4 linked regions of the Anolis sagrei genome follow. The protein of the gene in region 3 purifies or fractionates together with the protein of the main gene of each other region. This does not show direct contact. Links are inferred from orthologs where the notes say so. Each region holds a gene or a part of one and is shown on either strand. Other genes may lie near its edges.

Region 1 (7,805 bases), on a different chromosome or scaffold from region 3:
GCTGCAATTTCCCATGGTCTCTGCCACAAGTCTTTTCAAATCCTTCCAGTTTGTGCACATCAACAACCTAAAGCTCATCTGCCGGGCCCACCAGCTGGTCCACGAAGGCTACAAGTTCATGTTCGATGAGAAGCTGGTGACGGTGTGGTCGGCCCCCAACTACTGCTACCGCTGCGGCAACATCGCCTCCATCATGGTCTTCAAGGACGTCAACACGCGAGAGCCCAAGCTCTTCCGCGCCGTCCCCGACTCCGAGCGCGTCATCCCCCCGAGGACCACCACGCCGTATTTCCTCTGAGACCCTCCTCCCATATTTCCCTTCTTCTCTTTCTGTGTGACATACTTTTTATTGAGCACTTTGCTGCTGAAATGCTGCCTCTTGCCTTGTTCTTTTTTATTTTTAAATTATATCTAAATGTGTTGTACATTGTCGTCAGTGACGCGTCTCTTTTCGACCTCCCTCTGCGCAGAATAACAAAAAGCTATTTCCCTTTCCAAGAGTGCTCAGAGCACTTCGCTGTTTTATAATGCTTCTCGATTTCTCTCCATTTTGTTCTGTTTTGATTTCCCTCCCTTTTCCAATAAAATACAAACCGAGCCAGAACTAGTCCGATCTCCTTATTCCACGCGAATATTTATCTTGAGGATAGAGTTTTAAAGAAATTTCAGCAGCAAAGTGGTATTTATGTGCGGCAATGGGACTTTCTAAGTCCATCTAGATATATACGAGGGAACGGTCGTGCTTTATATTTTGCTTTGAGCAGATAGAAATAAGTGGGTTTGAAAAAAGGATGTCGCTTATTTCGTTTTTCCTGTCCCTCGAAGACTTGTTTTTTTTTATGTTTTAGGGTTCCAAGAAAAAGCAAAACACGCTACAGGTATTTGGATTTGTACATTAAAATAATTGCTCTGATTTTTCTCTCAGATACCTTGTATTTTTAATAAAGTCGTATCCAGAAACCCGTGCCTCTGGGTTAAAACGTTGGAAATAAAAACATATGTTGTTGATGGGAATGTCATGGCTTTTCATTTCAAAATTGAGCCATTATTATTATTGTTATTATTAACAAAGATGTATTATTGTTGTTATTATTAACAAAGATATATATTACTTAATACTGGGAAAGGGAAACGCTGCACATTACAAGTGGTGAACCTGACTCAGCACACAGACCAGGGCAAATGCTTGATGTGTCCACTGGAGGGTGGCAAAGGATTACACGTAAAAGTCCTGGGCAGATAGATGGCTATAAAGCTTCAATGGAGGGTCAGAATACCGGGGGGGGGGGGGGGGGGGCGCAAAGCTCGATGTGGAGGCGGGCAAAGGATTGCACATAGGAGTCCTAGGCCAATAGGTGCCTCTGAGGGTTGAATGGAGGAGCCGCTCTCAAACGTAAGTTCTAGGTCTGGATAAGGATTCCACTGTATATAGGCTTCAGGGATACATTCAATAAGAAAAATCATACAAACACAGTAAGCATTTAGTCATGAGGCTCTATGTAGACTGAAGACAATAATGAAGATGGAGCACCACTCTCAAAACAATCTTCATGGAAAAAATCCAAATCAAGTCCAGTGAAAGCACTGCTTCTCAAAATAAGTCTTCAAAGGAAAAGTCCAAATAGCATTCAACAGGGGTGCCCGGGTATTTTTGTACCCTGTTTCGGGGAAAGCAATCCCCTTCCTCAGGAGTTGATAAAGTCAGCAACTCTAGACTCTTATCAATAATAAGAGCCTAGAGTTACTATATTACTCTTATCTATAATAAGAGTAATATAGATATGTCCACTGGTCACCTTATATCTATTTATATATTATTATTTCAGGTTGTTATTCTATATACATAGATGTATATATGCACACATAGTGACCAGAGGACTTATTATTATTATTATTATTATTATTATGTCCACTGGTCACCTTATATCTATGTATTATTTCACGTTCTTATTAATTATATAGTGAGCAGAGGGCTCTATTATTATTATTATTATTATTATTATTATTATTATTATTACTATAATTACTACCATATGCCAGCAAATATGGAAAACACAAGAATGGCCATCAGACTGGAAAAAATCAACTTATATCCCCATACCAAAAAAGGGAAATGCGAAAGACTGCTCAAACTTCCGTACAGTGGCCCTTATTTCTCATCATGCCAGTAAGGTAATGCTCAAGATCCTGCAAGGAAGACTCCAGCAATACATGGAGCGAGAGTTGCCAGATGTTCAAGCTGGGTTTAGAAAAGGCAGAGGAACGAGAGACCAGATTGCCAATATCCGCTGGATAATGGAGAAAGGCAGGGAGTTTCAGAAAAACATCTACTTCTGCTTCATTGACTATTCTAAAGCCTTTGACTGTGTGGATCATAATAAATTGTGGCAAGTTCTTGGTGGGATGGGCATCCCAAGCCCCCTTCCCTCTCTCCTGATGAATCTGTACAAGGACCAAGTAGCAACATTCAGAACTGACCACGGAACAACAGACTGGTTCAAGATTGGGAAAGGCGTTCGGCAAGGCTGCATCCTCTCACCCAACCTTTTTAACTTGTATGCAGAACACATCCTGCGATGTGCGGGGCTGGATGAATGCAAGGCTGGGGTGAAAATTGCTGGAAGAAACATTAACAACCTCAGATATGCAGATGACACCACTCTGATGGCCGAAAGCGAGGAGGAGCTGAGGAGCCTTCTAATCAAGGTGAAAGAAGAAAGCGCAAAAGCCGGGTTGCAGCTAAACATCAAAAAAACCAAGATTATGGCAACAAGAATGATTGACAACTGGGAAATAGAGGGAGAAAATGTGGAGGCTGCGACAGACTTTGTATTTCTAGGTGCAAAGATTACTGCAGATGCAGACTGTGGCCAGGAAATCAGAAGACGCTTACTTCTTGGGAGGAGAGCAATGTCCAATCTCGATAAAATAGTAAAGAGTAGAGACATCAGACTGGCAACAAAGATCCGCCTAGTCAAAGCCATGGTCTTCCCTGTAGTCACCTACGGATGTGAGAGCTGGACCTTAGGGAAGGCTGAGCGAAGGAAGAGAGATGCTTTTGAACTGTGGTGCTGGAGGAAAGTGCTGAGAGTGCCTTGGACTGCGAGAAGATCCAACTAGTCCATCCTCCAGGAAATAAAGCCCGACTGCTCATTGGAGGGAAGGAGACTAGAGACAAAGTTGAAGTACTTTGGCCACATCATGAGGAGACAGGAAAGCCTAGAGAAGACAGTTATGCTGGGGAAGGTGGAAGGTGAAAGGAAGAGGGGCCGACCAAGGGCAAGATGGATGGATGGCATCCTTGAAGTGACTGGACTGACCTTGAAGGAGCTGGGGGTGGTGACGGCCGACAGGGAGCTCTGGCGTGGGCTGGTCCATGAGGTCACGAAGAGTCAGAGGCGACTGAACGAATAAACAACAACAACAACATAATTACTACTTTACTATAAATATACTAATATAATATATATTACTATTATATCATATTATTAATATTACTAATATTGTGATTATTAAGTTCTCTGGTCACCATATATATATATATATATTCCTATTATATCATATTAATATTATGATTATTAAGTTCTCTGTTCATATATATATAATTATTACTATTATATTAATATTACTAATATCATTATTAAGTTCTCTGGTCACCATATATATATTATATTACTATTATATTATATTATTAATATTACTAATATTGTGATTATTATTAAGTTCTCTGGTCACCATATATATAATATTACTATTATATTATATCATATTATTAATATTATTATGATTATTAAGTTCTCTGGTCACCATATATATATATATATATATATATATATATATATATAAAATTATTACTAATATATAATGTCATATTAATATTACTAATATTATGATTATTAAGTTCTCTGGTCACCATATATATATAATATTACAATTATATCATATTAATATTACTAATATTGTGATTATTATTAAGTTCTCTGGTCACCATATATATATATATATATTACTATTATATTATTAATATTAGTAATATTATCATTATTAAGTTCTCTGGTCACCATATATATATATATATAACTATTATATCATATTATTAATATGATTATTAAGCTCTGTTCGTATGTGTGTATATATATATATATTATTATTACTATTATATCATATTATTAATATTACTAATATGATTATTAAGTTCTCTGGTCACCATATATATATTACTATTATATTATATTATATTATATTATAACGGTGCTCCGTGCAGTCATGCCGGCCACATGACCTTGGAGGTGTCTATGGATAACGCTGGCTCTTCGGCTTAGAAATGGAGATGAGCATCAACCCCCAGAGTTAAACATGACTGGACTTAATGTCAGGGGACTAACTTTACCTTTTATTATATTATTTATATTACTAATATTATGATTATTATTAAGTTCTCTGGTCACCATATATATATATTCCTATTATATCATATTATTATGATTATTAAGTTCTCTGTTCATATATATATAAATTATTATTATTATAAAATTATTATTATTACTATTGTATTATATCATATTAATATTGCTAATATTAAAGTTATTATGAGTAATGATAGTAATAGTTCACTGTAGTAAATATTCACCAACCTGCCTTAGAAATGAGAAGCAAGTGGTTGGATTAGGCAAGGCGTGCTGAGGTCACGTGGCTGGGAAGCCCCACCCACTTCTCCCCAGGCTTTGGCCGCGCCCATCCTTTCCCGATTGGCTCTCCCTCTCGCCCCCTCCCCGGCGGGCGGGGTTTCCGTTTCCGGGGAGAATCACCACAGAAGGTCGGTGGCAGCCGAGAGGGAAGGAGGTGCCGCTTTCTCCTCCTCGTCTTCCCTCAGAGGGAAAGGCCTTCCCGAGCAGGCCCCTGGCCATGGCGCGGAACTCGCTCTCCTCTCGCTTCCGGCGCCTCGACATCGACCAGTTCGACGAGAACCGCTTCGTGGAGGAGGCCGACGGGGCCGAGGCCGGGAGCGGGGCCTTGGGGGCGGCCGAGGACGAAGGCGGAGGAGGGCTGCGCGCCGAGGTGGAGGCCGCCCTCAGGCAATATCCTTCTTCCCTTTGGGAGCCGGGTAGAATCGGGCAGGGATGGGCCAAGTTGGTACCTCAGGGTGTTTTGGACTTCAACTCCCACAATTCCTGGCCTCAGCCCTCTTCTTTTTCCCCTTCAGCCACCATGTATATTATATATCAATATGGTGACCAGGGAACTTAATAATAGCCGTAATATTAGTAATATTAATAATTAGAATATGATATAATATAATATAATAGTATTGGTATAATTATTATAATAGCAATTATCGTAATAATATTAGAGCCCTCTGCTCACTATATAATTAATAAGAACCTGAAATAATAAATAGATATAAGTGACCAGTGGACATAATAATAATAATAATAATAAGTCCTCTTGTCACTATGTTTGTATATATACAGCTATGTATATATAATAACAACCTGAAGTAATAATATATAAATAGATATAAGGTGACCACTGGACATAATAATAAGTCACTATATACATATATACACACACACATCTATCTGTATATAAGAACTACCTGAAATAATAATATATAAATAGATATAAGGAGACCAGTGGACATCATAATAATAATGATGATGAGTCCTCTGGTCACTATACACACACACACACACACACACATATCTATCTGTATATAAGAACTACCAGAAATAATAATATACAAATAGATATAAGGTGACCAGTGGACATAATAATAATAAGTCCTCTGGTCACTATGTGTGTATATATACATCTATGTATATAATAACAACCTGAAATAATATATAAATAGATATAAGGTGACCAGTGGACATAATAATAAGTCTTCTGGTCACTCTCTATATACGCACACACACACATACACACACACACACACATCTATCTATATAATAACTACCTGAAATAATAATATATAAATAGTTATGAGCTGACCAGTGGACATAATAATAATAATAATGTCTTCTGGTCACTCTGTCTCTATACACACACATACACACATATCTATCTATATAATAACCTGAAATAATAATATATAAATAGATATAAGGTGACCAGTGGACAGAAGAAGAAGAAGAAGAAAGAAGTAGTAGTCGTCATCGTCGTCTTCTGGTCACTATATATACACACACACACACACACACATCTATCTATATATAATAACTACCTGAAATCATAATATATAAATATATATAAGGTGACCACTGAGCATAAAAATAATAATGAGAACAATGGAATAGACTCATAGAAGCCTAAAGTTGGAAGGGACCCCTCGGCCATCTAGTCCAACCCCCAGCCAGGCAGGAAAAGCACAATCAAAACACCCCTGACAGATGGCCATCCAGCCCCTGTTTCAAAGTTCCCAAGGAAGGAGCTTCTACCAGACTCGGAGGCAGAGAGTTCCACTGTTGAACAGCTCTTACACTCAGGAAGTTCTTCCTAATGTTCAGGTGGAATATCCTCTCCTGTCATTTGAACCCATTGCGTCCACAAGCCTGCTCCCTCTTCCTCAGGACACGCTTTCACATGTTTATCCATGGTTCTCATGTCTCCTCTCAGCCTTCTCTTCTGCAGGATAAACAGACCCAGCTCTTTGGGACACTCCTCATAGGGATTATTCATGGTCTCCAGATCCTTTTAGTTGCCTTCCTCTGGACACCTTCCAGCTTGTCAATATCTCTCTTTAATTGTGGTGCCTAGAATTGTACACAGTGTGATTCCAGGGAAAGAGGTTTAACCAAAGCTGAATAGAGAGGCAGTATGACTTCCCTTCATGTCCTCTGTTTTGTGTGTTTTAGTATGTATTTTGTAGAGGCGCCTTTTGTTGTTTAACTTTTGCGGAAGTACATTTTCCTGTGTGTATTTGTACTGTTGTTGTTTTTGCTGCGTTATGTATTTATTTTAATGATTCTTAACTGGGAATGTTTTAAAATACGATTTCTATTTAATCTTGTTTTCATGTTGGTATATTTGTGTATTTTAAATGGCTATGCTGGAGCTTTTATTTGCTGAGTTCCCTTTGGGGGAAATAAAGTGGGGTAATAATAATAATAATAATAATTCACACCATCAGAGATTTGTAGTTTCTCAATTTGCTTCACACACGATATAATAATAATAATAATAATTATTATTATTATTATTATTTAATTATTTTGTAATAATAATAAATCTTTATATCCCACCTTTCTCCCTCACGTGACCCAAAGTGGCTTACAATATATTAAAATAATGTAAACAACAATCCATATACATTGATAATAAGTATAAAATGTCATAAAATAAGCAGTTTAAAATAATAATATACATTCATATTCTTGCAACCTGGCTCAAGCCACGAGGAGAGGTGGGTAAGAAATAAAATTATTATTATTACAATAGAGTCTCGTTTATCTAACCTTTGCTCACCTAACGTTCTGTATTATCCAACGCAGTCTACCCCTTACCCGCAGAAGCGGCACCTATTGATCTACTCACATTTTTGAACTGCTAGGTTGGCAGGAGCTGAGGCTAACAGCTAGAGCTTTTCTTTTCTACATTTATTTATTTATTTATTTTATTTTAACTATTTTGAGTGTGGGGCAAAGTTTTTGTGCATTGAACCATCAAAAAGCAAAGGTGTCTCTTAGCCAATCATTTGGACAGTTTTGGATGAGGCATGCTCAACCTTTTTTGAAGAGGTTTTGACCTTGGAGAGCAGCCATCGAGTATTACATTCACAAGGGAAATGAATGGGCTGAATCACTGTT
Region 2 (7,996 bases), on a different chromosome or scaffold from region 3:
AACACAATCCAGAGCAGAAGCGAAAATGGCAAAAAACTGTCCATGGACAGTTTCTGGCAAAGATTGAGAGCCAAATTGACAAAGAAAAAACGTGCATGTGGCTCACAAATGGAACTCTGAAAAAGGAGACAAAGGAGGACCTGATTCTGGCAGCCCAAGAACAAGTCATTCGAACTAATGCCATCAAAGCCAGAATTGAAAAGTCGACGACAGATCCCAAATGTAGACTCTGCAAGGAAGCAGATGAAACAATAGATCACATCCTCAGCTGCTGCAAGAAGATCGCGCAGACAGACTACAAGCAGAGGCAAAGCACTGTTGCTCAGATGATTCATTGGAACTTGTGCCACAAATACCATCTGCCTGCAACAAAGAACTGGTGGGATCACAAGCCTGAAAAAATTACACATCAAGCTACTCTGGGACTTCCGAATTCAGACAGACAGAGTTTTGGAGCATAATACTCCTGACCTCATGATCATGTTAAAAAAGTGTGGATTATTGATGTTGCAATCCCAGGTGACAGCAGGATTGAAGAGAAACAACTGGAAAAGCTGACACGATATGAGGATTTAAAGATCAAACTGCAAAGACTCTGGCACAAGCCAGTCAAGGTGGTCCCAGTGGTGCACACTGCACACTGGGTGCAGTGCCTAAAGACCTTGGCCTGCACTTAAACACAATTGGGGCTGACAAAATTACTATCTGCCAGCTGCAAAAGGCCATCCTTCTGGGATTTGCACACATTATTCGTCGATACACAGTCCTAGACACTTGGGAAGTGTCCAACGTGTGATCCAATACAACAGCCAGCAGAATGTCTGCTGTGGACTCATCTTGTTGTGTTTCTAATAATAATAATAATAATAATAATAATAATAATAATAATACAGTTTTATGCTGCTTTAACTGTCATGGCTCAATACTGTGGAATCATGGGAATTGCAGCTTTGCATTTTCTACGAGAGTGCTGGGACCTCATCATACTACGACTCCCAGGATTCCACAGCCTTGAGCCATAACACTGAAAGTCGTGCCGAAACTGCTTTAATTCTACAGTGGAGAGATGCACCCTACACTTTGAATAATTTTGCCTTCTTGAAGAATGCAGTTTGCTGTAATCCTTCCTATCCTTTTCCCTCCACAGGAAAATGAGGAGAATAAACCTTCCACTTTTGATGAGTTCTTCCAAGAGCGAGTGGATGAGTGACAAGATTGGGATCCATTTTGAGGAAAGGTATCAAGATCAAATGCATCAAACATCAAATGCAGCCAAGGCAAAGAGATCCCCAGAGGGATCTGCCCCATAGACTTTTTCCCCCCTTGGAGAGTTTACTGTACATACTGAGAGATAAATTATTGTGTTATTTCATTGTTTGATTGCTTCCTTGGCAATAATAAACATGAGAGTATCTGGTCTTCCTATCTGTTTCTTGGTGTGCTTTTGTTAGCTCAGGTGGCGGAAGCAAATACAGAAAAGGCTGCGTTGCCATTGTCACTTGAGTGTGTTAACTTGTTCAGCATTGCTGTCCTTTGCTCTGATTCAGTCTAAGGTAAGGAGGGTGAATGTGTTGCCAACAAGCAACAAGGCATTGTTTGTTTTTGGGGTGTTAGGTAGTATCATTTAGTTAATTAGTAACACTATTTATTAGAAAAAAGCCAGTTTTTATTTGTTTTTTTATTAATGCCCCCATTAGAAAATGCATAAGGATGTGGGTAAACTACAATACCCAAAACTGTTGGTCAGTCCTCCCCAAAACAGGCCTGTATGGTCCAGATCCAATGTTGGCTGGGTTCAGTGCTCTCTGGATGCAGGTGAACTACAAATCTCAAAATCAAGGTTAATTCCCACAAACTCCTGTAGTATGTTCACTTGGTCATGGGGTTTCTCTGTGGTAAGTTTGGTCCCGGTCCATTGTTGGTGGGGTCACTGTTTCTCTGGATGCAGGTGAATTACAACTCCCAGATTCCCAGGGCAATCACTCCCAAACTCTGCCTGTATTCACAGTTGGACATATTGGGTCTATGTGCCAAGTTTGTGGTCCAGATCCATTATGGATGGGGTTCAGAGTGCTCTATATGCACACACCCCCAGCCCCTCCATTATGTTTCGTTGGTCCTCAGGGTTTTGTGCAGCACATGTGTTCCAGATCTGCCATTGGGGGCTTCAGAATGCTCTCTGGGTGCAGGGTGAAATACAACTCCCACACGGGTAGGTTAGTCCTCCCCCAAACTCTTACAGTATGTTCTGTTGGTCATGGGGGTTTTGTGTCCCAAGTTTGGTCCAGGCCCGTCATTCGTGAGGGTTGCAGTGGTCTGTGGAAGTGGATGAAGGTACTGTAAATCCAATCATCCGTGGTCCATCCTTCTGCAAACCGCACCAGGATGTAAAGTGGGTCATGGAGGGGTCTGTGTGGCAAGTTTGGTCCAGATCCATCATTAGTCGGGCCGCAGTGATCTCAGGAACTTAGTAAAGGAACTACAAATCCCATCATCCATGCCAAGTGGGTCCAGATCCATTGTTGGTTGGGTTCACAATGCTCTGGATGCAGGTGAACTACGGCTGCTATAAATCAAGGTCAATTTCCCCCAAAACCTCTTGTTCAGTTGCTGTTTGCTGTGTGCCATAGGAAAGGGATAAGGGAGAGAAAGTGGGCATGGTCATGCAAATTCCACAGCAATGGAAAAAGTAAGGAACCCTGGGATGTCCATTCTGGAGGAAAAAAACAACATCTAGGATGAAATTGTCCCCAAATTGAAGCCTTAACTTGGGTGGTAGGCAGTATGGTGTTTGTGGAGAACATTGGCAGGGGTTGGGAGACATGTTCATGGCACCCACCATAACCTGAAATGTCCTTGGAAGGAGTGCTTTGAGTGGCTCCTCAGCACTGTGGGTTAAATTGGGAGGCTGTGTGTGTAAGGGGACACCCCTGCCACATACACATCAATTTTATCATATGTATAGATAGAAGATTTGTATTGAAACAAGAAACAATACACAAACTCTATACTAGACTGATTGATTAATTCTGTGGCCACTTTGGTATCAGTGCTTCAGGTTTCCCTATCCATGGCCTGGATCACATTATCTGCGGCCATTTAAATTGCTCTATTTCAAAAGTTCACAAGCCTCCTCTGCCCAGAGGGAGCTTCTACAATAGCGAATTAACACAATTTGACCACTTCAACAGCCCTGGCTCAGTGCTCTGGGTGTTGTCGTTTCCCAAGGTCTTGAGCCTCCTCTGCCAAAGGAAGCTCTTACAATACTGAATTAACACAGTTTGACCGGCTAAAATGTCTTGCCTCAGTGCTCTGCAAACCTGGTAGTTGTAGTTTCCCAAGGTCTCAAGCCTCCTCTGCCCAAAGGGAGCTTCGAGACGAGGAGAGCATTGATTCCAGGGCTGGGGAGGCCATGGGGGCCAAGTGGGCCATGTGGCCCAAGCGGCTGCTGGGCCGGCTGTGAAATGCGGGAGTGGAAAGAAAAGACTCAGTAGAGCGAAAGAAAAGACAAGGAAGCAAAAGCTAAGGATAACCCTTTTACTGAAGGGTAAACGACAAGATAACTAATCATATGGGGGGTGGGGGGTGGGGGAGAAGGCTGCAGATAAGTCTCCTGGGCACTGGTAGCTGCTGCTAACCTCCTCCAGACCGCTGATCATTCGCAAAAATTGATTTTTGAAACTAAAAGAGCTCCCGTCACCTGTGGAACTCCTCGCTGCGGTGCCAACTATATCAATATTTTGCTCAAGGGGGAGGGGGGGGGTGTCCTCGACAATACTTTGGAAACTATAACTCCCAGGTTTGCAGAGCACTGAGCCAAGACAGTTGAAGTTGTTAAACTGTGTTAATTCACCACTGTAGAAGGTCCCTTTGGGCAGAGGAGGCTCGGGACCTTAGGAAACTACAACTCCTAGAGGCTGTTGAAATAGTCAAACTGTTAAAGGTAAAGGTTTATCCTGACATTAAGTCTAGTCGTGTCCAAATCTGGGAGTGGTCTCATCTCCATTTTTAAGCCAAAGAGCTGGTGTTGTCCGTACACACCTCAAGGGTTATGCAGCCAGCATGACAGCATGGAGTGCTGTGGGGCTCCTGATTACGCAGAGGGTTAATCCACTGAGCTGCTGAACTTGCTGAACAAATGGTTGGCGGTTTGAATCCAGGGAGCGGGGTGAGCTTCCACTGTTAGGTCTAGATTCTGCCAACCTAGCAGTTTGAAAACATGCAAGAGTGAGTAGATCAATAGGTACCAATTCAGTGGGAAGGCAAGGGTCAAACTGTAAATTTGCTATTGCAGAAGCTCCCTTTGGGTAGAGGAGGCTCGAGACCTTGGGGAACTACAACTCCCAGAGCACTGAGCCAGTGCTGTTGAAGTGGTCAAACTGTACATTTGCTATTGCAGAAGCTCCCTTTGGGCAGAGGAGGCTCGAGGCCTTGGGGAACTACAACTCTCAGAGCACAGAGGCTGGGCCATTGAAGTGATGTGGGCAGAGGAGGCTTGAGACCTTGGGGAACTACAACTCCCAGAGCACAGAGCCTGGGCTGAAGTGGTTTGGGCAGAGGAGTCTCAAGACCTTGGGGAACTACAGCTTCCAAAGCACAGAGCCAGGGCAGTTGAAGTGGTCAAACTGTAAATTTGCTCTTGTAGAAGCTCCTTTTGGGCAGAGGAGGCTCAAGACCTTGGGAAACTACAACTCAGAGCAATGAACCAGGGCTGAAGTGGTCAAACTGTACATTTGCTATTGGAGAAGCTCCCTTTGGGCAGAGGAGGCTCGAGACCTTGGGGGACTACAACTCCCAGGGAACTGAGCCAGGGCTATTGAAGTGGTCAAACTGTACATTTGCTATTGGAGAAGCTCCCTTTGGGCAGAGGAGACTCGAGACCTTGGGGAACTACAAGTCCCAGGGAGCCAGGGAACTCCACGCGGCGCTGAAAGCCAGCGGGCCTCTTCGTGGGCCTTGCTCTCGGGCGCCCCCTCCTGACCAACGAAGCCACTGCCTCCGCTCCTGCCGGGCCCCGCCCTTCCTGCTTTGGGTGGAAGAGGAAGGAAGGCTGGCAGGCAGGAAGGGAGGAGGGCGCGTTTGGCTGCCTGGCGGGCTGAGAAGGAAGAGCCTGTCCTCTCCGGCTCCCATCAAGTGCTTCCCAAAATGCCGGTAAGGGGCAGGGGGGGATGGATCCTTGGGGATCTCAAGTCCCATCGCTTGGGGGTGGAGGTGGAGGTGGATGCTGGGACTCCCAACTGGCCCAAGAGAGCCACTAGCTTCAGACCCAAAGGGGCCCAGACGGGAGCGAGATGGGAGCCTGCCCAATGGCTGCCCTGCTGGAAGCAAGGTTGGGGTGAGGGTGAGGATGATTTTTTGGGTTGGTAGGACTTCTGTAGCACCCAACAGACTTCTCTTTCCCAGGTCTATTTCCCCCCAGCTTGGGACTTTCTGCCCCCCCCCCCCAATATTTTAAATTACTTTTCTGAACACAAAAAGGGCACAAATAAATATACAATAGCAGTCCCTGTTTATACATACACTCAGACATGCTTCACAACCATTGCATGTCAAGCTAGACAACATACATTATAGGTCGAAACTACAGACCTCTCTATTTGTATTTGTGTGTATGTATGTATGTGTATATAGAGAGAAATAGATAGTGGATTTGTTGCTTTCCTTTTTTTTTTTGGTGTCTCTACAATTTTCCCCAAACTGGTTTGCATCCGCTTATTTGAACACTGACAAATACAGATCCCAACATTTTATGCCTCCAAATCCATCCATAAAGCCTTTCCCCTCCCCTATTATATTATATTATTGTTATATTATATTATTATAATATATTGTTATAATATAATTTATATTATATTATATTGAGAGATGGGTAAAAAGGTTTCTTTTAGTAATGTACCCAGTGACCAGCTTGGGGATTTCGGATCTTGAAAACAGCTGGGGATGATGGGAGCTGCTGTCCCCAAGGCCACCTGTCCCCAAAGGCTGTTGTTTCGGGTCTGTCCCAAAAGGCTGGGACTTCAAATGTCAGCCGCGGGGGAAACTTCCTTATATGGTTTCAAGAGGGAAGTCAGGCGACACTGGCTGTCAGGCAAGGCTGATTTTGGGGGGGAAACCAAACAATGGGAGGATTCGAACCCGAATCCCGCAGCACTTGATGGATCTCCACTGTGGGATGGATGTGGTTTGAGACCACTTGAGCCTGGGAGGCGTAGTTTGGAGAGTCAGCCACCCTCTTTGGCAGGCCTTGGAAAACTACAACTCCCAGGATCCCGTCACACTCAGCCATGGCACTCCAAGAAGTGTCGAACTCGAGATTTTTCTGTGTTAGGTGTTATTACTAAAAGGCTATGGCAAAATTGGCTTTGAACAAAAAATCTGACTCGATACCCCAGCACCCCTTGTAATTCTCTTATATTGAGTCTTCTTGGAAAATTGGTTTTGAAGTGCCTTCCATTGTGATGGTAATGCAGCGCCTTCTTGGTTGTGGCATCAGCTTGTCTTGTCTTTCTGTGTTTCTGACTCCAGTCCGAGGCTTATCTGGCTCTCCTTTCCCCATTTCCTTTGTACATCCTTTTTCGAGTATCGCTTTATTGTACTTATGTACCTAGAGTCTTTTCTTCTTATTTATTAGAGTCATCATTACTCTAAATTGTTTTGAAGTCTTGCCACAAATGGCAGAATTAATTGGAGTATTTTTTTTCAAAAAAAAAAAAAGAAAAAATAATAGAGATGACTTTGCTTTGCTCTTGCATTTGCTCCTTAAGATGAATGGCCTGAATCCACTTGATCGGCTGGTAATAGCCGAAATAGAGGCACAGAGGAGTTGAAGTGGCTGGATATATGCCTGGCTTGAGAAGATTGTCTTTCTTGACCTGGTAAAATATTGTCTCTTGACTTGAGAAGATGGGAGTCACAGTCTACCAACATCTTGCATTTCAGGCACTGGCTTTGGGTGCATCTACACTGTGGAAATAATCTAGTTTGGTGCTACTTGAACTGCCATGGCTCAAAGCTATGGAATTCTGGGGTTTCTAATTTGATGAGACAGCAGCCCTCTTTGGCAGGGAAAGCTACCCCAGTTTTCAAACTATAACTCCCAGGATCCAATCTCATTGAGCCATGGCAGTCCAATAGAGCTAAGTAATAGCTCTGTGGTGCTTCTTCAAATAATAACAATTATAAATATTATTATTATTGCTATTATTTCCTGCTTTTATCTCTTGACCGAGATGCCAGGCAGCTCACAGCATGAAAAATCAATGCAATTTAAAATCTACAATGCATACATATTAGAATAGAATTAATCATACAAATCAGTCGTAAGAAATGAACATATCCCTTGTTGTTTCCTGGTGGTATTATTATTATTATTATTATTATTGTTATTATTATTTCCTGCTTTTATCTCTTGACTGAGACGCCAGGCGGGTCACAACTTGACAAAACTATGCAATTTAAAATCTACGACATGTAAATATTATAATTTTATTTATCATATCAGGAGCAAACCAAGGGTACCATTGTAATGTATTTATAAACACACACACACACACAATTTAGAATCTTGGCAGTATATGAATGTCCTTTGACCAGTACCTGGCCACTTGGAGTGCCCTTGGTGTTGCTATGAGAAGGTCCTCCATTGTGCATGTGGCAGGGCTCAGACTGCATTGTAATAGGTGGTCTGTGGTTTTCTCTTCTCCACACTCACATGTCGTGGACTCCATTTTGTGGCCCCATTTCTTAAGGTTGGCTCTGCCTCTCGTGGTTCAGGAGCACAGTCTGTTCAGCGCCTTCCAAGTCGCCCAGTCTTCTGTGTGCCCAGAAGGGAGTCTCTCCTTTGGTATCAGCCATGGATTTTAGCCTGCCACTTTTGGACTCTTGCTTGCTGAGGTGTTCCTGCGAGTATCTCTGTAGATCTTCGAAAACTATTTCTTGATTTAAGGTGTTTGCATGTTGGCTGATATCCAAACAGGGGATGGGCCAGAGATGTCAT
Region 3 (7,562 bases):
AAGTGATCACTAGGGGAACTCGTAAGATGAGATTTATACAACCATAAGTGGTGTTGAAACAATCAGGCTGCTTAGTAGATATTAAAAGAAGCATAATTATTGGATCACGTAAGAAATTATTGTAAAAATATTCTGATTGTACCCTAGACATGTCTATAAGTCATATAGGATAAGTATTAATGAAAGAATGAAGCCGTTGCCAAATCTATTTTGGATTCACCAGTGAAATACATGCAGATATTATTGGCATAGGTCTTGACTGAAACCAGGATAGCTTACATCTGGTGACTGACATCGCATATACAGAGCAATAAGAGAAAAATATTTCCTGCCTACAACACTAATTTTATGCAATTATATCTTACAACATCAATCATACCTTATAACATCAAACAACAAAAGGAATTGTGGGAAATAATGCATATTATTGAGCAAATCTGAAGGTTTTTTGTTGTGTTTTTTTTTGTTTTAGAACCCCAGATTTGAAGAAAACCATGTCTTTTGTTTGTTTGTATGAAGACTAGATGAAGTATCTTATATATCTCCTTCTTACATAGCAGAGAGTTAGTTTTGGCGCAGCTCTCTAATCCGTTAGACTTTAGCAGGAAAGCAAGCAAATGGAAAAGGAAGAGGAAAGGATGAATGAGGAGAAGAAGAGGAAGCAGTGAAAGAGGTGAAGGAGGAAGAGGGGAGGAAGCAGTGAAGGAGGAAAAGGAAGAGGAGGAGGTGCAGGAGAAAGAGTAGGTGTTGTAGGAGGAAAAGAATGAGATGGAGGAACAGAAGAAAGAGGAAAGGGAAATGAAGGAGAAAAACATGAAGCAAGAAGAGGAGAAAGATGTGGAGGCAAAGAAGATGAGGAAGAAGGAAGTGGAAGAAGTGAAACTGGACACGTGGAGAGGGAAGAAGAAGAGTTGAAGGAGGAAGATGAAGTGGTAAAGGAAGAAAGAAAAAGGAAGAGGAGAGGGTGATGAGGAGGAGGAAGCAGTGAAAGAGGTGAAGAAGGAAGAGGGGAGGAAGTGGTGAAGAAGGAAAAGGAAGAGGAGGAGGTGGTGCAGGAGGAAGAGTAGGTGTTGTAGGAGGAAAAGAAGGAAATGGAACAGGAGAAAGAGGAAAGGGAGATGAAAGAGAAAAAGATGAAGCAGAAAGAGGAGAAAGATGTGGAGGCAGTGAAGAAAGAAGATGAGGAAGAAGGAAGTAGAAGAGGTGAAGCAGGACAACGGGAGAGGGAGGAAGAAAAGTTGAAGGAGAAAGAAGTGGTAAAGGAAGAAAGGAAGAGGAAAAGGAAGAGGAGAGGGTGGATGAGGAGAAGAAGAAGCAGTGAAAGAGGTGAAGGAGGAAGAGGAGAAGGAGGTGCAGGAGGAAGAGTAGATGTTGTAGGAGGAAAAGAAGGAGATGGAGGAACAGGAGAAAAAGGAAAGGTGAAGGAAGGAGGTGGAGGAAGAAGTGAAGGAAGAAGAGGAAGTGAAAGAGGGGAAAATGAGGAGATGAAAGAGGAAAAGGAGTAGGAGGAAGTGAAAGAGAAGTAAAGGAAGAAGAGGAAATGAAAGAGGAAGAGCTGAAGGAAGAAGAGAAGGTGGAAGAAGTGAAGGAAGAAGAGGAAGTGAAAGAGGGAAAAATGAGGAGATGAAAGAGGAAAAGGAGTAGGAGGAAGTGAAAGAAAAGTAAAGGAAGAAGAGGAAGTGAAAGAGGACGGGGTGAAGGAAGAAGAGAAGGTGGAGGAAGAAGTGAAGGCAAAAGAGGAAGTTAAAGAGGGAAAATGAGGAGATGAAAGAGGAAAATGAGTAGGAGGGAGTGAAAAAGAAGTAAAGGAAGAAAAGAAAGTGAAAGAAGACAAGGTAAAGGAAGAAGAGGAGTGGGAGGAAGAAGTGAAGGAAGAAGAGGAAGTGAAAGAGAAGTAAAGGAAGAAGAGGAAGTGAAAGAGGAAGAGCTGAAGGAAGAAGAGAAGATGGGGAAGAAGTGGAGGAAGAAGAGGAAGTGAAAGAGGGAAAAAGGAGGAGATGAAAGGAAAAGGAGTAGGAGGAAGTGAAAGAGAAGTAAAGGAAGAAGAGGAAGTGAAAGAGAAAGAGCTGAAGGAAGAAGAGGAGGTGGAGGAAGTGAAAGAGGGAAAAATGAGGAGATGAAAGAGGAAAAGGAGGAGGAAGTGAAAGAGAAGTAAAGGAAGAAGAGGAAGTGAAAGAGGAAGAGCTGAAGGAAGAAGAGGAGGTGGAGGAAGAAGTGAAGGAAGAAGAAGTGAAAGAGGAAAAGGAGTAGGAGGAAGTGAAAGAGAAGTAAAGGAAGAAGAGGAAGAGCTGAAGGAAGAAGAGGAGGTGGAGGAAGAAGTGAAGGAAGAAGTGGAAGTGAAAGAGGGAAAAAGGAGGAGATGAAAGAGGAAAAAGAGTAGGAGGAAGTGAAAGAGAAGTAAAGGAAGAAAAGGAAGTGAAAGAGGAAGAGCTGAAGGAAGAAGAGAAGGTGGAGGAAGAAGTGAAGGAAGAAGAGGAAGTGAAAGAGGGAAAATGAGGAGATGAAAGAGGAAAAGGAGTAGGAGGAAGTGAAAGAGAAGTAAAGGAAGAAGAGGAAGTGAAAGAGGGGAAAATGAGGAGATGAAAGAGGAAAGGAGAAGGAGAAAGTGAAAGAGAAGTAAAGGAAGTGAAAGAGGAAGAGCTGAAGGAAGAAGAGAAGGTGGAGGAAGAAGTAAAGAAGAGGAAGTGAAAGATGGAAAAATGAGGAGATGAAAGAGGAAAAGGAGTAGGATGAAGTGAAGGAGAAGTAAAGGAAGAAGAGGAAGTGAAAGAGGAAGAGCTGAAGGAAGAAGAGGAGGTGGAGGAAGTGAAAGAGGGAGAAATGAAGAGATGAAAGAGGAAAAGGAGGTGAATGAAGAGAAAGGAGGAGGAGAGAGGGGCGAAGGCAGGTCCCTCTCACCCGGTGCCGGCGTCTACGACGCAGGGGGGCATGAGGCCGGCCATTTCCGGGCTGCGAGGGGAAAAGGCCCGAGGAAAAGGGAGGAAAGGGAAGTCCCGCCGAGGCGCCCCCTCCTCCTCCGCTTCCCCGCCGAGCTGACAGCTCCGACCGCAACACGCCTGCGCCAAACCCATGCTGCTTTCTGCAGCCACGCCCCTCCCCGGGCGTCACGTGGTCCACAAGGACATAAACATCCGGCCCCCTGGCGGGCATTTTGGGAGAGCGTGCTGCTCAGGCTTTGCCCGCTTTGCCTTCCCATTGGGCAGCCGTGGTCGCCTAGCAACGCCTGGAGTTGCTAGTAAGAGGGAATTGCGACCACGCTTTAATTGCCAGGGAAACATAGTCTGCATTGAGTATCTCTCTGCCCAAAGGTGGCACCTCATTGCAAAACCCCGGGCTTCCATAGTGTCAAACTATGTTAAATCTACAATGTTGCATACTTTGGTTCCTTCCACGCTGCCATATAATCTGTCAGTGTAGACCCATATAATCCAGTCCAAAGCAGATCATCTGGATTACCTGATTGGATAATCTGGAGTATATGGCAATGGAGACTGTGCTGTCACACACTGGGCCTGTGCATAAGTGTTGCATCCCAGACCAAGAAACGAGACCATAAGATTAAATACACCACACTGGACTGTAGGAAAAACAATCCTTTATTATAGATGAAAATTGGTTACAAAAGAAAGTTAAATGCAAAGTCAAAAAGCCACCATAGAAACACAGCAGTCAGGAAAATCTCTGAACTTGAGCAAAAGTCCAAAAAAAAAAATAAGACAAGAACCAGGAACCTGTTAGCCTCTCGCTAGCCATGTACTTGAAAAACTAGAAGCCTCTGGGATTACCGGCCATGGAACACAGGAATTCTGCCAAGGCATAGCCGGTCCCAAACGATGCTTGCTCTAAGGAGGCACCCGGCATGCGGCCCCTTATACCAAAGAAACTATTCCTTGAAACGCCCCTTGATTTTGAAGCCTGAGCCTGTCTCTCCTGTAATCTATTTGACCTTCGTAGGAATTGTGAATCACTCCTGTCTCTCATTATCTGTTCCCTTCAGTCCTCATTGAAAAAGCCAGGTGGAGAGCTATCACAGCTGGATTCCAAAACGTTTTCATCCAGCTGTTCAGTTTCGTTTTCCCCGCCGCTGAACTCAGCATTAACACCAGTTTCCACATTGTCAGGGAAAACTACATGTTCAGTGGCTTGCTCAGTTGGAAATACTATCAGAGAATCAGGTTCACACAGATCAGGTTCACACAGATCAGGCTGAACCCCAACAATAAGACTGTAGACAGGACATAAATTCTATGTGCCCAACGGGATGCCGGGGATGCCTCAGATTAAAGGCCTTTGGATTGCCTTAAAACAGAGTCTTTAGATTGCTTAAAGGTTCAACAAAAGTTCTTTATTATTGAAAACAAACAGGTACTTTAAGGCTTTCTTAACAGTCTATTGGCTCTCTCTCAATCTTGTCCACAGGGAACAGGCACTATCTTCATAACTGTATAGTAACTAATGGGGAAATCCTTAACTTCTAATCTGGGCAGTCTGTCTTTGCTTCTGTTGGCGTGGAGCCCCTGCACCCGGTACTAACTGCTTCTGGCTTCCGCGAGTGACCCTTACCAAGCAGAGCTTTGTGGACCCCCAGGGGAAAAGGAGTTCAGGTTTCAGTGATGGCTGGCTGAAGTCCCTCAGCAAAGGAGCTGTAGGGCTGTATGATCCTCGGCCAAGCTGTGGGCTGTATAACCCACGGCCAAGCCGTGGAAGACGAAGCTTTCTACAGGAACTCTTGATATTATGTCCTGCATGAAAAGCTTCTCTGTGTGGTCTGAACCCAAATTGGCTCCTATTCCCTCCAAAACCCAAAAAGGGGGCGGGACCAGAGAACCTAACAATAATTGACAGGTGGCTTGCCCTATGATTGCAGCCAAAAGAAGCCACCAATCTGCAGAGTCCCTGAAACTTAGGACTACAACAAACATTCAATGCAAAGCAAACAAAATTGGAGCTCCTGGTACAGCTGAACCTACACAGAGACTCATATAGTCCAGTTCAAACAGATAATTTGGATTGATTCGATCATTTGGATTATATGGCAATAGAGACTCATATAATCCAGTTCAAAGCAGATAAACTGGATTACCTGATTTGATCAACTGTATTATATGGCAGTGGAGACTCTTATAATCCAGTTCAAAGCAGATAATTTGGATTATTTGATTTGATCAATTGTATTAAATGGAAGTGGAGACGCATATAATCCAGTTCAAAGAAGATAAACTGGATTGTGTAGTAGTGGAGACTCATATAATCCAGTTCAAAGCAGATAATTTGGATTATATGGCATTTTACAAGGGATCTGAGGCCAATTCTATACTGCCATATACAATCCAGATTATCTGGTTTAAACTGGATTATACGGCAGCTTAGACTCATAAAATCCTGTTCAAAGTAGATCATCTGGATTAAATGGCATTGTACAAGGGGCTTCAATACAGCCATAAAAATCCAGATTGTCTCCTTTTAACAGGATTATATGGCAGTGTAGACTCATATAAACCAGTTCAAAGCAGATAATCTGGATTGAGACAGTACAAAAGAGGCCTTGGTTCCTTCCTTGTACATGATTCTCCATTCCTGCTCTGACCGTGGCTCCATTTACATTGCCATTTAATGCAGTTTGAAACTGCATTAAATGATCGGTGTAGACTCATATAATGCAGTTTAACTGCATTGAACTGCATTATAATTTATTATTATTATTATTATTATTATTATTATTATTTACTTCATTTATATACTGCTTTTCTCAGCCCTTGGGAGACTTATAAGAGCCTACACTGGCCATATGTCATTTCAGACTGCGTTATATGGTTGTGTAGACAGGACCCTAAATGTGTGCGCGTGTACACACACACACATATGGCTGGAGTTACCACTATAAAAATGTACCTGTCCCGACTTACATACAAATTCAACTTAAGAACAAAGCTACAGAAGCTGTCTTGTTCGTAACTTGGGGACTGCCTGTATATTGCCTCTAATAATGCATTGCCATTCCAGGCTAATGGATGCGCCCCATCTTCACAAGCTTATTTTGGGATTTTTTCCTATTTTGGCCCCTTCCCTCCTTAGCGGGGGATTCACAAAATAATCCCTATGCCTGTTGATATTTCCCGCTTGTCTGGAGGTGGCATTGTTTGGGCTACACAAGCAACATATTGCATGAACATCACCAATAAAGGAGACAGTGAACATATGTTGGTTCAGCAAGACTTTTTTTTCCTTAAACTTGCAATTTTTTCGTAACATCACTCTGTGAAGGAATCCTTCCTCTCATCTGTCCAAGAACTAACCCATGCATGTCAACATATGACAGGTTATAATAAGAATCGGTGCAGTCTTCTATCCACTTTCTCCTTGCTGCACTTAATTTTATATACAAGGGTTGAATGAAAAGTAATGCCTCCACCTTCATTACTTGGGTTTGGATGGGAATATTTTAATAAATCAAACGCAGAAATCATCCTCTTTAACTACCACTATTCACTTTTCAACAAACAATTGGATACATTTCTGCCAACGATGAGCAAGTTTTCTGAAGCCGTCACGGAAGAAGTTGACACTTTGTTTCCGCAACCCATCGTGCACAGATTTTCCGATAGCCAAGCAAAGTAATAATGTGACCCACACGTTCTTGTGAAATGCTGATTATGCTTGAAATTTCTCTCTGAGTGATACGATGATCGTCCTGAATCAATCTGTCACCCTGTTGCTTGTGAAATTTGGTGGTTGCTGTCACAGGACGTCCCAACCCTTTGTTTGTCACACAAGTCAGAGGTTCCCACCTCGACATCTTTAAACTTACTCGCCCAATGATGCACAGTACTCCCATCAAAACAATCACCATAAACAGCTTGCATTCGCTGATTAATCTCCTTTGAGGTGACACCTTCTGCTGTCAAGAATTCAATGACTGCACGTTGCTTAAGTCGCATTGACTGACCGTCTGCGCAGGGTTCCATATTTTGCACTTTAACAACACAACCGTTCAATACTAAGGCTTCCCACAAAAATGGAAGTGTAGAGGAGAGTCTACTGAACAAGCCAGCACCTGCTGCATACCAGTAATGCCATCTGTTGAGAAGTTACGAAAGTGGAGGCATTACTTTTCATTCAACCCTCGTACCTCTAAAACATATCCCCTTAGTCACCATTTTCACACAGCTTTTACTCCAGTCTTTTGATCATTTTCACTGTCCTTATCTACATCTTGGTGCCCTCAGTGAGCTGCTGAGCTGCTGAACTTGCTGACCGAAAGGTTAGTGGTTTGAATCCAGGGAGCAGGGTGAGCTCCTGCTGTGAGCCCCAGCTTCTGCCAACCTAGCAGTTCGAAAACATGCAAATGTGAGTAGATCAATAGGTACCACTCCAGCAGCAAGGTAATAGCACTCCATGCAGTCATGCCGGCAACATGACCTTGGAGGTGTCTATGGACAATGCCGGCTCTTTGGCTTAGAAATGGAAATGAGCACCACTCCCCAGAGTCAGACACGACTAGACTTAATGTCAAGAGGAAACATTTACTTTTACTTTTCTCACCCCAGGGGGATTCAAAGCGG
Region 4 (7,761 bases), on a different chromosome or scaffold from region 3:
CACCAAACTACAACTCCCATGATTCTACAGGATTGAGCCATGGCAGTTAAAGTGGTCTCAAACTGTGTTAATTCTACAGATTAAATGCACTCTTTGTCTGAGTGGGGATTTGAACCCTGGGTCTCCCAAAGTCCTAGACCAGGGGTGTCAAACTCATTCTTATCAGCCTTATGGTTCAAAGGGTCATTGAATCTATGAATGGAGAATTCGTGGATTTTTTACACAGTGGTCAATGCTCTTTAGTTTTTATCTAGTTAGGTGAGGAAATGTAAAATGATCCCACTTAGAAATAAACTTGTCCAGATGGTTCTTTAGTTTGCATGAACAGTAAAAATTACAGATGTATCAGGGCATTTAGGAAATAGATATCACTTTGTATTTTCTGACAGCAGTTTGGCCTCTAAGTGTACTTTTCATTTATTTGCATCAATTTTGTGACAAAAAGACTTAGTATTTATTTTTCTAGTATTGATTCTAACCCTAGGTGGGAAAACATACCAACTGTTTAACTTTGGTTACTTAGAACATGAGATATTACTTTGCCTCCAGTGTATCTTCAATATAAATACTTAACATATGAGATTTTTGTTGTTGTTGCCCTCCCTTTTCTATCTCCCTTAGAAGTCTCCAGATGCAGAATTTTGCTTTTCCACCTTATAAGTGACAAAATGGGAACCTCATCCTCTCATAAAGGATTGTTCCACCATACTATAGACACAATTTCTTATCAGAAGAGCATGTATCATGGGTTAAAGAGGATCAAGGTGAAAGAGTGACATGTAAAGGATGAACCAAAAGTTACAAAGGGGGTTCAATATTTAATGACTTCTTTATTTTTGTTTTTAATTTACAACACCATATTGTATATGATGTATAGCATCATATACAGTATATATAAGAAATACATTTACATGAGGTGTGAAAAATCAAGTCTCATAAATGGTGTCCAATATCATAGCAATATATACAGTGTATCTATGACCCTTTCGTGGCTTGTAGCCCACCCTGTTCTATTAAACACCAACAAAACACAGCCAGATTGCCATAGGACCTTCTTAACCTTTTCATATTTTTGTACTATTCTTTGCCACTTGCGGAGGTTTATTAAGGAAATGAATGTTGCCTCTTATAAAAGAAGCAATATCCATGCTTTGTCCATTTATTTATATAGCCCAACAGCAACACACATGGTACTCCAATACCTGGCCTTTGCCCAGAGGAGCTGACACTCTGAACTTTGATGCAGGAAAGATAGTAAAAAGAAGGGAATAGCTGCATGTGCTAAAGCTTAGTCACAGTTATTAGGCTACATAGAAAAACCTGGGTTTTTACGATACAATGTAAACAGCCAAAGTCACACTCAGGCCCCCATCTATACTGACAATTTCATGCAGTTTCAAACAACTATTGAAGAAAGTGGTTTTGGTGTGCAGATGATCACATAGGAAATCCTGGAAAACCTTTGAGGCCAGGATGGTGATTACACAAACCAGAGAGCTCCGAGTAAGGGCTTTCTTTCGCACACCTTTTGTGGGTGTTTGTTGTCTGGCTGCCAGTTTGAAGCGAACTGTGATCTGCATTAAATGGTCATTGTAGATGGGGCCACAGTTTCACTGAAAATACAATCAATGTGGTACATTTTGTTAGGACCGCAAAACTGAGGGTCAAAAAAGCATATTTTTAATGTGTGGTTTTATAGGAATTTGACGCTCTTAATTTTAAAAATGACCTCAGATCTGCTCCATCCCTTACTTTCCCCCCAAAATGCTTTGATGTACTTTGTTGAAAAATGTAAATGAAATTAGTATTCAAATCATCACAGACTGAGCATCCCTTATCTGGAATCTTATCTGGGGTACTTTGTGCTTTTCCTGCATGGCAGAGGGTTGGACTAGATGTTCCACGTGGTCTCTTCAAACTCTACTATTCTATGAATGTGTTAATTCTGAAATTCTTCAAAATCAAAAGTTATCCACATGCGTTGTCGAGATAGTAACCCCTTTGCTTTCTGATGGTTCAATGGACACCTATATTTGTTCCTGCACAAAAGTATTTTAAAAATTGTGTATATAATTACCTTTCGGTTATATGTGTATTGTGTATATATGAAACATAAAATGAAGTTCATGTTTCTACTTGGGTCCCATCTCCAAGACTTCTCATTACATATACAAATACAGGTATTTCAAAAACTGAAAAAACACTTCTGGTCATTTTGCATAAGAGCCAATCAACCTGTATCAGAGTTAGACAGGTCTGAGGGATTTCAGATATGGGGAATAACATGGGATTCCCACCTCAGTTGTAATGGTGCTATTTCCCAGCATCCTCAAACAACCAAACATGAAACAAAACTTCTCAGATTTCAAGTACAGTACTTCAAAACATTTAGCTGTTCATGCCATACTTAAGCCCCATCTACACTGACCCATTAATACAATTTAAAGCTAGCTTCAAACTGCAGAAGTCTGACAACAAACTCCCACAAAAGGCTTGCAAAAGAAAGCCCCTTTAATGCACATCAGTGTTCTGTAGTTTGACTAATCTCCTGTCATCATCTGAGCAGCAAAACCACTTTATTACCAGTTTGCAACTGCATTAAATGGTCAGTGTAGATCAGGCCTTAGGGATGCATTTGGAAGTTCACACTTCAGCTTCTAAATTTGCGGTTAACCATGAAATTAGATTTTTTTAAAAAAGAAATAAATGTTTGTTGTGTTTTTCAAATACAGTACTACAATCCTGATGAAAAAAAATGTGCTTTTGCCCATGACAGGCCTTACTTTATAAACTAACCCCAAGTGCATGGTATTAAAATGCAAAGCAACATTATGTAGCAACAGGAATGAGCCGAGGCCACATCAACACAGGACTTTGATCAGGCATGGGTAAACTTTGGCCCTCCAAGTGTTTTGGACTTAAACTACCACGATTCCTAACAGCCTACCAGCTGTTAGAAATTGTGAGAGTTGAAGTTCAAAACACCTGGAGGACTGGAGTTTGCCCATGCCTGGCTTAGAGAACAAGGAATCAAATGTTATGCTGTAAAATGAATGCAGTTTTGCACCAGTTTAACTAGTGGGAGTATGTATTTATTTATTTATCGTGTCAGAAGTGGATTAAGGGTACAGTTATAATGTACTCAAAAAGACACAGTTAAAAACTTGGCATTATGCCAGATTTCCTTTGACCAGAAGCTGGCCACTTGGATTGCCTCTGATGTGGCTACAAGAAGGTCCTCCATTATGCATATGGGAGGCTCAGGTAGCATTGTAGTAGATCATCTGTGGTTTGCTCTTCTCCACACTCACATGTCGTGGACTCCACCTTGTGTTGGCTCTGCACCTTGTGGTGCCAGTCTGTTCAGTGCCTTCCAAGTCACCCAGTCTTCAGTATGCCCAAGAGGGAGTTTCTTATCTGGAATCAGCCACTGATTGAGATGCTGGGTTTTATGCTGCCACTTTTGGACTCTCGCTTGCTGAGGTGTTCCTGCGAGTATCTCTGTAGTTCTTAGGAAGCTGTTTCTTGGTTTGAGGCATTGGCATGCTGGCTGATATCCCAACAGAGGTGGGATGAAGATGTCACTGCCTTGGTCCTCTCATTATTGGCTGCTTCTTCCCAGAGGATGTCAGGTGATGCAATACCGGCCAAGCAGTGCAATTTCTCCAGCGATGTTGGGTGTAGACATCCTGTGATGATGCGGCATGTCTCATTAAGAACCAGGTCTACTGTTTTAACGTGGTGAGATCTGCTCCATACTAGGGGTTGTTTTTTTTTTTTAATTGCGTCAGGAGCAACTTAAGAAACTGCAAGTCGCTTCTGGTACGAGAGAATTGGCTGTCTGCAAGGACGTTGCCCAGGGGACGCCCGGATGATTTGATGTTTTTATCATCCTTGTGGGAGGCTTCTCTCATGTCCCCGCATGAGGAGCTGGAGCTGATAGAGGGAGCTCATCCGCCTCTCCCCGGATTCGAACCTGGGTCTTCAGTCCTGCCAGCACAGGGGTTTAACCCACAGCGCCACCGGGGGCTCTACTGCCAGGGAAACTGTGGAATCCTAGTTTGGTGAGGAACTAGCACTCTTAAGTAGAGAAGGCCTAGCACCTTGTACAACTACAAATCCTATCATTCCATGGCATTGAGCCATGGCAACTACAGTATTGCCAAACTGGATTAATTCTAGTGTAGATGCGCCCAAAAATAAATAAATAAATAAGCTCGAGGGCAACAGAGAATCGGAAGAGCTTCCGCCCCGCCCCCCTCGAGCGCATGAGCACGTGCCTGGCAAGCCAGTGTCCGCGAACGAGGCACATCTGGCGGCGCGTGCGAAGCCACAGGGAGGCCGCAACCAATGGGAGTCCGAGCTCCAAACCAGCTTCGAACGTTAGCCTTGGCCAACGCGCGCGCGGAAGAACTGGCTAAAGCACGCCTGGGCAAATCTGAGCCTTCCCTTTAGGTGTTTTGGGCTTCAACGGCCACCATTCGTAACAGCCTCAGGCCCTTTCCTTTTCCCCCTCAGCCGCTTAAGTGGAAAAGGGAAAGGCCTGAGGCTCTTAGGAATGGTGGCCGTTGAAGCCCAAAACACCTGCAGGGAGGGCCCAAGTTGACCAGGCCTAGGCTAAAAGGAAGAAGCCTTCCCCGCCTGCTTGGCATGCCTGCCAGCCGCGCATGCGCGCTGCTTTCCTCTTCCTCCCTCCCCCTTCCCTTCACGCCACTGCCTTTCCCACGTCCAGGATGTGACGCAGGGTGCCGGCTCGGCGCGGAGGTGGGTGGGGCCCCCGTGGCGGAAGCGGCTGGACTCGGGCGGGTCCCCGGTGCGGCGCGCTTCTCGGCTAGGTGGTGTCTTCTCCCCCCCTCCCCTGCCCCCCGCTCCTCCTCCTCTTCCTCCTTCTTCCCCGCCCGGCTTCCGTACCCCTTCCTCACCTCGGAGCAGCCGTCGCCATGATCCTGCTGGAGGTCAATAACCGCATCGTCGAGGAGACGCTGGCGCTCAAGTTCGAGGGCGCGGCCGCTGGGTGAGGAAGGAAGGAAGGCAGGGGCGGCGGGCGGGTGGGAGGAGTGGTGGCGGCGATGGGAGGAAGGGCGGGGTGGGGCAGGCGTTAGGACAGGGCAGCGAGGCCTACTCGCCTCACTACCTTCTTCTTCTTCTCCCCCCCCCCCCCCCCGCTTGCCCTGCGTTGCCCTCCCCACTGTTTATTCATGTATTTGCATGGCTGACGACTCCAACGTAGGGTTCACCCTTCAGCCTTCTTCCTTTTGGGCAAGTGGGTGTGGGCGGCGGGCCTCCACTTCCTCTCTCACCTTCTGGCGCTTGGGCGCTTCCGGAGCCTCCCTGCGAGGCCCCTAAGTGACTCAGGAGGTTCAGGCTGCTGCTGCCTATCCTCCCACCTCCAAGCTGTCAGGACGGATCTGTGCTTCGGGAGCTTTTGACATCACGTAGTCCTCCTTCAGATCGGGGAGGGGTGCCCTTTTTCCCACTTAGGAATGCAGTTTCACACCGCTTGGAAGTGCCAGGGCCCAGTGCTGTGGTATCACAGGAGGTGTGGCTTTACAGTAGTGGTTCTTAACCTGTGAGTCCCCAGATGTTTTGGCCTTCAACTCCAAGAAATCCTAACAGCTGGTAAACTGGTTGGGAATTGTGGGAGTTGTAGGCCAAAACACCTGGGGACTCACAGGTTGATAACCTCTGTTCTACATACTGAACACTCACATACGCAATGTATTGCCAAAGGCTTTGTTTCTTCCATATGCCTCTTTTATGGGGATATGAAGAGATCTGGTCATTTCTGTGCAATGTATTCCTGGTTAGTCAGTGGAACAGATCACATGAAGGCCCCTTTTCATTTTCTTCAGGGTCCCTTCAACATTAGGTCTGTGCTCTCCACCATCATCTTCCCCTTTCTACTCCTCTAAAGCAGTGCTACTCAACAAGTTGTTCCATGGTCCAATCCTGATCTATGAACCATCTGCACCTGGTCCCTTCTGTTCCCACAGGTTGAGAACCACTGCTATACAGGGTCTTTAGCCTTCCCTGCCAAAGAATGCTGGTGTCACACTAAACTATAAATCCTAGGATTCCATGGCATAAAATCATGGCAATTCAAGTGTTTTTTTGTTTTGTTTTATTCTATTTTTTGTTGGGTAAGAAGCGACTTGAGAAATTGCAAGTCACTTCTGGAGTGAGACATGGCCCAGAGCATGCCCAGATGTTTTACCACCCTGTGGGAGGCTTGTCTCAGGTCCCCGCATGGGAAACTCCCGTCTCACAGACCCGAACCGCTGACCTTCAGATCAGCAGTTCAGCCAGCACAAGGGTTTAGCCCATTGCGCCACCACGGCTTATGCTGTATTAATTCTACAAGTAGATGCAGTCTTGAAGGGTTTAATTGCTGGTTGCCTTCGGGTAACTACAATTTGGAATATTTGGGAGAAGAATTAGGATTTCTTTTCCACATTTTTGATTGCTTGCATATATATTTATGAGATATACTGTAAAAGGACCCATTTCCAATCATGAAATTCATTTCCAATACACATAGCCTGAAAATACAATACTGTATTTTATGTAATTTTGCACATGAAACAATGTTTGTGTCCATCAGAAAACAAAGGTATCACAACCTCAGCCACCCATGTGGACACTTTTGGATTTTGGAGGGTTTCAGGTTTTGGTATTTAAGATACGGGATGCACAGCCTGTGTAGGCTTTTTGGATAGAAGATACCAAGCCAATTGCACCGTGTGTTGCCACTTCCCTAAAGTGCTGCTGTTATTCTTCCTCTTGCCACTCACCAGGAAGTGTCGCTTTCACAGATAGCTGAATTGCAGGCCCTGGCTTTTTGATCAGGGTGTGTTCAGTACATATTTCAAGTACAGGTAAAATTATTTGAAAGTGTTTGAGAAGATAAGCATTCTTACTGCTGTCTGAGAAAGAGAACAGTAAACTCATGCACTTGGAGAAAGGACAGGTAGAGAAAGGGGTGGAGCTCCCATTGGGAAAAATTGAACAAGTGCTTATTAGAGTCTGCAGAAAGAACTGCACAATTATGCTGACAATATTTTTCCCATTGTATATGTTTAACTTGCTGTAAAGGTACGAATTATGGAGCCTTCTGGCTGTTGGGCTAAAAGTCCTAGCAGTAATAATCAACATAATCACTCAGAGAGGAATGCTGGTACTTGCAAACCAATATCATGATAGGGCTGATGTTGAACACTGGATGGTGCTTTCCTCAGACAAAAGGGACCTGTTTCTTATCTTTGACAAGTGACTTATATGGGTTGTATTTTTTTCTAGACTTCTACTTTTCTGTTTCATACTTTTCTGTTTCTACATATCTCCTAGCCGTTTCAAGTAAAAGGAGTCTGTTTTATGTATTTTGTATGTATTCATCCTGCTTGAGATCCATCTATTTCAACATTTTTGAACATTCCCCACAAATAGAGGCCTTCAGCAGGTCATTTCGAAACTGGAACCCATTCTATTTTCTGTGCATTCCTCAAATGTTGTTGTATGTCTTCAAGACATTTCAGACTTATGGTGACCCTAAAGCATAGTCAGTTTGCACAACACACTGTATCCTATCATATGATTTTCTTGGGGGGGGGGGATAGTGGAAAGGGGGTTACGTATGAATTTTTAGTCTCTTTTTTGTTAAATTATTAAAATATATATTTGGTAAAAGTCACATATGAGGAAAAGTGGTTATGTTATACTCATTTGCCCCAAATTGAATAAATAAATAATATGGTTTTCTTGAAA

The links.
Region 1: the proteins of ACTR3B (region 3) and ARPC5L purify together in Homo sapiens (affinity purification with mass spectrometry; 3 studies listed by BioGRID and IntAct, counting the BioPlex papers as one, with this or other methods). This does not show direct contact. The link is inferred for Anolis sagrei from reciprocal best matches to the Homo sapiens genes ACTR3B and ARPC5L.
Region 2: the proteins of ACTR3B (region 3) and ARPC3 purify together in Homo sapiens (affinity purification with mass spectrometry; 6 studies listed by BioGRID and IntAct, counting the BioPlex papers as one, with this or other methods). This does not show direct contact. The link is inferred for Anolis sagrei from reciprocal best matches to the Homo sapiens genes ACTR3B and ARPC3.
Region 4: the proteins of ACTR3B (region 3) and ARPC2 purify together in Homo sapiens (affinity purification with mass spectrometry; 6 studies listed by BioGRID and IntAct, counting the BioPlex papers as one, with this or other methods). This does not show direct contact. The link is inferred for Anolis sagrei from reciprocal best matches to the Homo sapiens genes ACTR3B and ARPC2.

Annotation. Positions count from the first base shown.
Region 1 is NC_090031.1:6,399,374-6,407,178, reverse strand, and holds the start of ARPC5L (actin-related protein 2/3 complex subunit 5-like protein), read left to right. Parts: upstream 1-4,790; 5' UTR 4,791-4,905; coding exon 4,906-5,078; intron 5,079-7,805. Other genes in the region: PPP6C (serine/threonine-protein phosphatase 6 catalytic subunit), read left to right, coding at 50-298. UniProt on the Homo sapiens protein: May function as component of the Arp2/3 complex which is involved in regulation of actin polymerization and together with an activating nucleation-promoting factor (NPF) mediates the formation of branched actin networks.
Region 2 is NC_090034.1:42,367,069-42,375,064, forward strand, and holds the start of ARPC3 (actin-related protein 2/3 complex subunit 3), read left to right. Parts: upstream 1-4,995; 5' UTR 4,996-5,145; coding exon 5,146-5,151; intron 5,152-7,996. Other genes in the region: GPN3 (GPN-loop GTPase 3), read left to right, coding at 1,148-1,210. UniProt on the Homo sapiens protein: Component of the Arp2/3 complex, a multiprotein complex that mediates actin polymerization upon stimulation by nucleation-promoting factor (NPF).
Region 3 is NC_090026.1:121,572,221-121,579,782, forward strand, and holds the start of ACTR3B (actin-related protein 3B), read right to left. Parts: upstream 3,019-7,562; 5' UTR 2,943-3,018; coding exon 2,899-2,942; intron 1-2,898. UniProt on the Homo sapiens protein: Plays a role in the organization of the actin cytoskeleton.
Region 4 is NC_090021.1:228,567,089-228,574,849, forward strand, and holds the start of ARPC2 (actin-related protein 2/3 complex subunit 2), read left to right. Parts: upstream 1-4,751; 5' UTR 4,752-4,940; coding exon 4,941-5,014; intron 5,015-5,300; exon of another isoform or gene 5,301-5,476; intron 5,477-7,761. UniProt on the Homo sapiens protein: Actin-binding component of the Arp2/3 complex, a multiprotein complex that mediates actin polymerization upon stimulation by nucleation-promoting factor (NPF).